Linked DNA regions of Chlamydomonas reinhardtii. The protein of the gene in region 2 interacts with the protein of the main gene of each other region in a pairwise test. Links are inferred from orthologs where the notes say so. Each region holds a gene or a part of one and is shown on either strand. Other genes may lie near its edges.

Region 1 (4,147 bases), on a different chromosome or scaffold from region 2:
GCTTCAAATCAATACGTACAACGGGTCGCAACACCACTGACTCACGTCAGACAACAAGTCGTGCACGAAAGCCGAACCGCTGTTACTCGTTTCACAGCTGCCGAACCAAGGTGGATGAATGCGCAATCGCAGTCCATTCATGCCCAGAACATCACTGACACTTCCATCGCCTCCCTACCCATACGATCCAGAAGCCCGCACGTCCTGAGCCTGACGCACGTGCCGCGGTTCCTCCGCTACCTGCCGCCGCATCCACACCCGCACCCACGCTAGCACACACACCCGCCCGCGCTCACTGCGGCAACCCCAGCTGCTGCCGCACTAGCATCACCTGCTGCCGCTGCGCCGGCGGCAGCGCGTTGACCTGCTCCACTGTGAGGCTCAGCACCCGCTGCAGCATCTGCGCCTGCTGCGGCGCCAGGTTGGGCGGCAGCGTCACGCTGGCGGGCGGGCCCTCCCCAGGCCCCACCGCCTGCGGCGGCGGCGCCTGAGGCGGAGGCATCATCTGCTGCGGCTGCGGCTGCGGCGCGCCCTGCTGCTGCCCCGCCGTGACGATCACGGCGCCCGGCGGCGCGGTGTACGGCATGCCCGTGGTTGGGTCGATCAGCATGGCGGGGCCTGCACGGTGTGGCGGTATATTACGTGGTTGAGCTGTGTGTCGGTCATTGTGAAAGCGGAAGCGGTGTTGCACAACGACGCCCAAGGAGAGGGAGAGCGTGATCGGCGGCGTGCGCTGTAAAGGTATAGCTTGCAGGTACACGTCTGCCGTAACACCAACTAGCTACTTCAATCCGGCAGGATGCCACTGCCCCCACGTCTTCCTGCACCCACACGAGAGTCGCTCTCGTAGGTATGGGCCGTATGGCGCACCTGGCATGCCACCCATGACCGGCGCGGGCGGCGGCGCCCCCGGCCCTGGCGCGTACGGCGCCCCCGGGTACGGCTGCATCGCGGGCGCCACGCCTACGGGGAGCGGAGTGAGGTTGGTGTGAGACCAGTGGCAGATCAGGGTCACCACATGCAAACGCGTGTTCACCACTCAAGCAACAATGCCTTGCACAGCACGGACGGCAGCTGGCATAGCACGGACGGCAGCTGGCCCTCCTGCAACACAACGGCAGTGAATTGCCGTATGACCTATCCTCGAGACACACTCTCAGCCCAGTCGCGCTCACCCTGCGGCGGCAGGCTCATGGGCGGTGGTGCCACCGGCTGCGGCGCCGGAGGCGCCACGGGCGGCGGTTGTTGCGGCGGTTGCGGCTGCGGCATCGCCGGCAACGTCGAGGGCGGCGCGCTGCCCTTGACCATACCGAGCAGGACTTGCGCCTGCAGGCCGGGCAGCACATCGCATATGCCGTTCAGCCAAGCAGAAGCAAAAGCCCGCGCCCTATGCGAACCGAGCTCGGGCCTAGCCACCCTGCCACCCTGCCCATGACCCTTGTCCACGCATCTGAAGCAGGGAGTGGTTGCCCAGCCCTTTCGCGCCGCACCCCACCGCCTCCCGCATCCCACCGCCTCCCGCCCCCACCTGGAACAGCGCCTTTGTGAGCTGCGGGTTGGAGACCAGGATGGACCGGGCGGTGGCGCTGTTCTGCTGCGCCAGGCTGCGCATCTGCGACAGGATCTCGTACAGCTGCAGCGGCGTCATGCCCGCGATCACAGTGCTGATCTTGTCCTGCGCAGGCCCCGTGTACGGCGCGTTGCCCAGCAGCGAGTTGGCCTGCGTGGCCGCGGCGTTGGCCGCGTCACGGCCGATGGGCTGCGGGGCAGAGGAAGGGAGAGGAGAGGGGGGGGAGCGGGAAGGGGGTCGTGGTGGTGGTGTGTTGGTGGAAGGGAAGGGAGGGGCTTTATTGCGGGCGGATGGCGCAGCCGGTCAGATGGATGGGTAAGCTGGTGCCCTGGTGGTGTTTCCAGGAGGGCTGTGCCTGGGTGTGGCGTGGAGTGCGGCTGTGCAGTGGGGCTGACAGCCTAGCGCCTGCGCCGCCAATCAGTCCGGCCACGCGCATAGCGCCTAGAGGCTTGCCCGTTTCTCTCGAAGTGCTTACCCTCGTGCCAGGTGGTGCCGCTGGCACTAGGCTGTCCGATGGCCCACCGCCTCCTCGACCGCCTCCACGCATGTCTGCAAGGTGATTACAGCCGAGAGGCAGTTGTTCGGGATGCGCATTCAAACGTCTTAGTGCTCACAACACAGCCCGCCGTCTGCGCGCCCCGTGTCGCCCTGTGTGCTTACCCTTCTCGCGCTTCCCTCTCCCGTCCACCGAGTGCTCCTCTGCAAAGTCCACTCGGAGCATGCGCCCATTGACCTCGTACTTGTTGAGGTTCCGCACGGCCGACTGCGCTGTGCCAACGTCGTGGTACTCGCAGAACCCGTACCCCTTGGGTTTGCCCGTGTCCTTGTCCGTCACCATCCTGCACCGTCAAGTCGGATATCAGCTGAATAAGGTTCCAGCTCCGCTTGCCGCCTCGTCCGCACGCACCTGAGCGACTTGATCGCTCCGACTTGGCTGAACATATCCTGGAGCATTTGCTCCGTGACATCGTATGGTATATTTCCAACTGCATGAAGATTTGGGACGGCAATATGTGAGTCGCCTTGCAAAGCAAAGAATGGCGCGCCAGGGCGGCCGAACGAGAGAATGCTGCTTACTGAATACGGTGCATGTTGGTGGTCGATCCATGGTGGCAGTAAGGTTGTCTAATTGCAGTCGCGGTGCTTGGGGAAAGAAAGTGACACCGAATTGGCAACACAGACGGTGACACTTGTCGCTGTGCAATACTATAGTGCGTTGACGTTGAGACAAAATTGGATTCCCGAATGTATCTGGTAATCGAAAGACAGTATACAAGCGCAATCATGGCACGGTCTCAAGGTTCGTGCCGCGGCACGGTTCGATGACACGCACCACGCCGTTACTGCCGCTCCCACTCCCAAGCCCCCGCCTACTTTGCTGCATGTGTATTCAGACGTCTTGCGCAGAAAGTGGGCCACAGCGGTGCGCATTGTTCGAAGTTGTGTCCCACCCCCTGCCCAACCCTGCGCCCTTGATGATGCATGCTGGGGACGTGCTTCACAGGTTCCTGCTTTGGGGCTTCCTGACCCTCCTCGTCCCAGCCTAGGAACTTACAGGCGCAGCTGCTCGTCCCTCACTCCTTCCCCTGTGTCTGTTCTTCCCTGCTGCACAAGATTGAGCCCCCATGTCGCATACATCCTGACCTGCCCCTGTCACGGAAGATGCCCCTAAATTCGGCAATGCCAAGTCGGTACTGCCACGTCGCATGGTGCTTTCACATTTCTGCCATCGATCCGCCTTGATGATGCCTATCGGCGCATCCTCCCCTGGGCCCAAGCGCCGTGGCATAACTGTCACCACCAGGCCGTCGTCTGCCAACCTCTGCTCACCACCCGCAGAACAGGTCCGTTCGCAGCCACTGTTGCCAGACTCTTCACTGTGCCACCGGCCAGCTTAGCAGCATGCAAATACAAAATGCCGAGCTGCAGCTCCACACGGGTGACGTCGCCTATAGTACATGTACATGCAGCCCAAGCACCCTATCCCCGTGCACGTATGCGAGCATGACTCCACGTACAAACAAAAAACCATCCGTGGATTCGTATTGGTGAATTTGCCGATGGCCGTCCAGCTGCTTACGCCGGCCAACACACCAGACAGCCGTACCAGCTCAGCCCTCACCTCAAGCCAGGTCCAGCTCATCCGGGCCAAGCCAGCTGCCGTTCCCAGCCCATGCCGCCGATGCCAACACAGCCCCGGCATGCAGCCCAACGCCAACCCAACCTGTGCCGCCCCAGCCCCAGTCCTGGACCCAGCCAAAACGCTTCTGCGCGCTGCAAGCAAGCACTTTCCCTCAGCCCCATCAAAACGTTTGGCGCCCAGCGCCCAGCAGCGCCTGCTCAGCCCAGGCGCACCTCGCCCACCACCTCGGAATCCGGGTCCTCCTCATCCGGGTCAATGCCCGCCTCAATCAGCGCCTCACGCTCCGCCTCCCTGCGCATCGCATCCAGCTCCGCCTCCGCCTCATCCTCGCCGTAGTCCTCGCCGTGCAGAATAAACTCGCGGTCAAACTGGGTGCGCAGGTTGGTGGAGGCCAAGTGGCCGGTGCGCTCCAGCAGCTCCTCCGTCTCCTCAAG
Region 2 (4,075 bases):
GGCCGGCTGCTGCTGGAACTGCAGGATCGAGTACGCCACCACCACCTTGGGCACGGAGCCGTCTGGGTGCCAGTTGACGTAGGAGGCGCTGCGCTTGATGTTGTTAGGGTCTTTGAACACCGTCACCGTCTTCACGTGCGGTGCCTCCGACGTGTGGTCCATCGTCACGTTCGTGAAGTACTCCTGGTAGATGTCCACCGCGTTGTTCTGCTTGATCAGGTCCTCCACTGACGAGCCCAGCTGGACAACTGTACGGATGTAGTCCTCATCCTTCTCCACCTTCTTGCGGTACCGGATCGTGTGCTCCGCTTCCGTGTAGTCAACATCCTTGGGCCACCCGCCCTCTACGTGGCTCATCGCCTTGTTGACCAGGATCACCGCGTTGGTGTTCGCCTCATGCTCCGACATCTCCGGCACGCACTGCGTCACCGTCGTGACGGGGTTGCGCGGGATGTACTCCTTGCCGTGGTCCTCGTTGGGGCGGATGTCCGCAAGCATCTCGCTGCCCTCATCCCCAAACTTTGGAAAGCGGCCAAACTGCTTGCGCAGCTTAATATATTGATGGTAGATCTCCATCCTGGCTGCTTAGCTCCTACGCCAGTGATCGGAGGGGTTCTGCTAACCGCTGCTCTGCTGCCTCCGTGTGGGACGCCGGGCGCGAGTTCCCGTGCGTGGCACGCTGCTGAACGCGGCCCCCCAGCTGCGCTCGTGCCTGGTGACGGGTGACCTGCAGTTCCAGAAACCGGTACTCGGTGAAGACCATATAGTTTCCCCTACGCACGCTTGAATACCCAGTCGCGAATAGCCAAAACGCGACCAACATGGTCCCCGGTGCATCCACTCCAACTGGAGCGCGCCTGACGTCGAGCGTGGCTGCAAACCTTACTAGCACGATAGAACATTGCTACAAGCGCGGCATGGCCCCTGCTTGACCCGCGGCTGCCCGGCTCTCGAATTTCTCCACTCACCGACTGTGTTCAGCAATGCCCAGCACGCTCTAGTGTTCTCATGCTGCTAGCTATTATGTGGGCCCAGCCATTCGGTGCAATAAACACGTAGTAAAGCGCGTGCCGAGGTAGTTCCCGGAAGGGCCTTATAACAGGTCAAGCTATTCGGTGCAATTCCAATCACAATGTAAAGGTGTAGCATGTCAAGGCTGCGAGCAATTCAGAGAAAGTCACGAGGTGAAGAGGAAACTTTGCATCCGGCGTCCTCATCCCGGGCGCTCACGCATTTTCTAAATCTTGAGAGCTAGATCGTTAGGCATAATTACATGTGCACTATCTCAGTTTGTACTGTGGCGCAAAGGCGCAGTTTGCAGCCCCCTTAAGAAGGCGGCATCCGCATGCGCCAAAATGAGTTAGGCTCCAGTCTGCTTACACATATTGCTTTGTAATCTGTAAGACGAGCTAGTCATGGACCGGGACAGAGACAGGATGGATCGCGACCGGCGCGGGAATCGAGGAGACAGAATTACGCCAGTGCAGCTACTAGGGAAGGTATGTGAGGCCAAGGTGATGCAGTGAAAGTGAAGGGGGCAAGGCGGGGATGGCACACCTGAACTGGGCGGCGTGCCCGCGTGGGCGCTGCGGTACCGTCGGAGCTGCAGCCACTTTCGGTGTGGTCCCGTGCAGTGGTTGCCCGACGTTAGCTGGATGTACGCCATTACATGGCAGGAGGGGGTGCTGCAGCACTGGGATGCAGTTATCAGCACAGGACGTCAGTAGACCCACAGCGTTTTGGAGCTGAAAGCACGCTGCGCTTGGCGGGCTGGGTGCCTTGCATTGCCTGAGGCGCAGCTGCCTGGCTCGGGATTCTGCCCGCTCACGGCATGCCTGCACAACGTGACGAGCCGCAAAGTATGGTACCTGATGCCGCTAACAACTCTGAACGGGACAGGTCCGGAACCTTAAGGCCAAGAATGCGGAGGACAAGTACGATGTGGCGGCTTGGGACCAAGCGTGGGACGAGCTCAAAAGCATGCCCCTGACGGAGGAGTCCCGGGCCATCTATGAGGAGGTAGTTTCCGCCTTTCCCACCAAGGTGCGTTGGCGCAATGAGGCACACAGCGCGAGGATGCAAGGGCGGAGGGGCGGGGCAGTGAAGCGCACTGGGCGGGAGGCGGCGGGGGGTACGCGAAGAGGCGCGCGCTGGCGCGCGCTGTGCGTCGAGGCGTTGTTACGCGGGGGTTTTAGGCTTGGAGCGTTGTAGGCGGGGTTGCGAGCGTATCTGGTGTGACAGGCAACGCACGACTGGGCGCGGGAGACGAGGCGGCGTCGCGCCTGGGGGCGCTGTCGTCACCTGCGGGCGCATGGCCTCGTCACCAATACCTGTTCATCTCCATGAGTTCCCTTTCATTACCATCACCACCACCACCATCACCGTCGCCGCCTGCCCTCGTCCCACCTGCCCGGCACTGCCGCAGGCGGACGTGTGGTGCAAGTACGCGGAGCTGGAGCTAGGCGGCGGCAACATGTCCGGCCTAAAGGCCATCTTCCAGCGCTGCCTCATGCAGGTGCCCTCGCTGGAGCTGTGGGCGCTGTACATCAAGTTCATCCGCCGCTCCAACAAGAGTGAGGGCGCGCTACGGGGGGGGACGCTTTGTATGGATGTATAGATGTGTGGGGATGGGGGGCGCCGGGCACAACTAGGCAGACGACAACGGAGAGGGGGCGCAGTGGTGCACAACTGTCAAACTCTACACCATGCGGGACGAGGGGGGCTTGCCTTTATCATCCTGAAGAGGAACATGAGGCGTTAAGCCGCAGGGCAGGGGTGCAGCAGTCGGGACCAGATCCAAGTTGGGGCGCTGCAGCACTTCGCATGGATGGCGCAGCGTGGGGCTGCGGGGGCCGATCGTGGCGTCGGCTCGTGACGTGGTGCATGCAGCCCCATGTGCGTGTCCCGAAAGCACGGCTTCAAACACTGTGTTTGTCGCGTGTGTGTTTGCTCCGTGCGGCAGGCAAGGGCCCTGAGGGCGCGGTGGAGGTGCGCAACGCGCTCAACTTCACTCTGGAGGTGACGGGGCAGGACATCAACAGCGGCCCCTTCTGGCAGGACTGCATCACGCACCTGCAGGGCGCCAAGCCGGGCACCCCCGAGTTCGCGGCGCTCTTCCCGCAGGCAAGTCGCGCGGTGCTGCTTTTGTGGCGTGGTGACCTGGCGGTGGTGGTGGTGGCGGTGTTGACGGCCTGCCAGGACTACCGGACACCGGACATGTTAATATTGCATTGTCCTGGCGTTAGGTCACGTGTTGTCGGTTGCGTGCTTGCTCCTGTCTTTCCTCCGCGTAGGCCATGGCGGGCCAGGAGGACCAGGCGCGGCTGGCGGCGGTGCGCAAGGTGTACCAGGCGGCGGTGTGTGTGCCGCACAGCCACCTGGACGGCCTGTGGCGCGACTACCAGCGTTTTGAAAACGAGGGGCCCAACAAGCAGTTCGCCAAGAAGGTGCGGGGCGGGGCGGGGCGGGGTGCCGGCCATTTGGACATGGAGGGAAGAGGTTCGCATGTGCGCGGTACCTGGAGGAGTCGCTGGACAGGGGGAGTTGCTGGTGACTGTGTGGGTGCAGCAGGAGGGCACTGTGGCCGCGCTGACTGGCTGTGCGCCGCCTGCTGCCTGCACGTGCAGGTGCTGGACGAGTGGATGCCCAAGTACCAGGCAGCCAAGGCGGTGTACAGGGAGCGGCGGAAGCGCACACAGGCAAGGCAAAGTACGGCTGCGGGGGTCTGTGAACGCGATTTGCAGTAAGAGGACGCGGGTGAAGGGGCTGGCGGCGCATAACCAACGACGGCTTACGCGCCCGGTCCCCGGCCCTATCCCTTCACCTGCTCCCCGTACCTACCTACCTACCCACCGTGCTGACTCCTGCACACCCACACCCACACCCGCAACCTCCACCCCCTGCAGCACCTGAGCCTGGCGCTGTGGCCGCTGCCGCTGGGCAAGGGCGGGCTGCTGCAGGACACGCAGGCGGCGCTGTGGCGCGACTACCTCACCTACGAGCGCAGCAACCCGCAGGTAGGGCGCTAAGCCGTGGGCGTCTTGGGCGCGGCGCCGAGGCGACGCGGTGCCCGCTG

What was found. The genes of interacting proteins can lie anywhere in the genome.
Region 1: the proteins of CHLRE_12g506050v5 (region 2) and CHLRE_01g024200v5 interact in binary tests that used the Arabidopsis thaliana proteins (3 or more experiments, as listed by UniProt). The link is inferred for Chlamydomonas reinhardtii from reciprocal best matches to the Arabidopsis thaliana genes CSTF77 and CSTF64.

Annotation. Positions count from the first base shown.
Region 1 is NC_057004.1:3,744,238-3,748,384, reverse strand, and holds the start of CHLRE_01g024200v5 (uncharacterized protein), read right to left. Parts: upstream 2,803-4,147; 5' UTR 2,679-2,802; coding exon 2,648-2,678; intron 2,557-2,647; coding exon 2,478-2,556; intron 2,410-2,477; coding exon 2,231-2,409; intron 2,120-2,230; coding exon 2,046-2,119; intron 1,760-2,045; coding exon 1,529-1,759; intron 1,327-1,528; coding exon 1,176-1,326; intron 964-1,175; coding exon 871-963; intron 619-870; coding exon 293-618; 3' UTR 1-292. Other genes in the region: CHLRE_01g024150v5 (uncharacterized protein), read right to left, coding at 3,911-4,147.
Region 2 is NC_057015.1:2,520,888-2,524,962, reverse strand, and holds the start of CHLRE_12g506050v5 (uncharacterized protein), read left to right. Parts: upstream 1-1,270; 5' UTR 1,271-1,436; coding exon 1,437-1,499; intron 1,500-1,899; coding exon 1,900-2,043; intron 2,044-2,425; coding exon 2,426-2,573; intron 2,574-2,962; coding exon 2,963-3,123; intron 3,124-3,293; coding exon 3,294-3,446; intron 3,447-3,626; coding exon 3,627-3,698; intron 3,699-3,905; coding exon 3,906-4,016; intron 4,017-4,075. Other genes in the region: CHLRE_12g506000v5 (uncharacterized protein), read right to left, coding at 1-576. UniProt on the Arabidopsis thaliana protein: One of the multiple factors required for polyadenylation and 3'-end cleavage of pre-mRNAs. Required for the targeted 3' processing of antisense transcripts that triggers transcriptional silencing of the corresponding sense gene.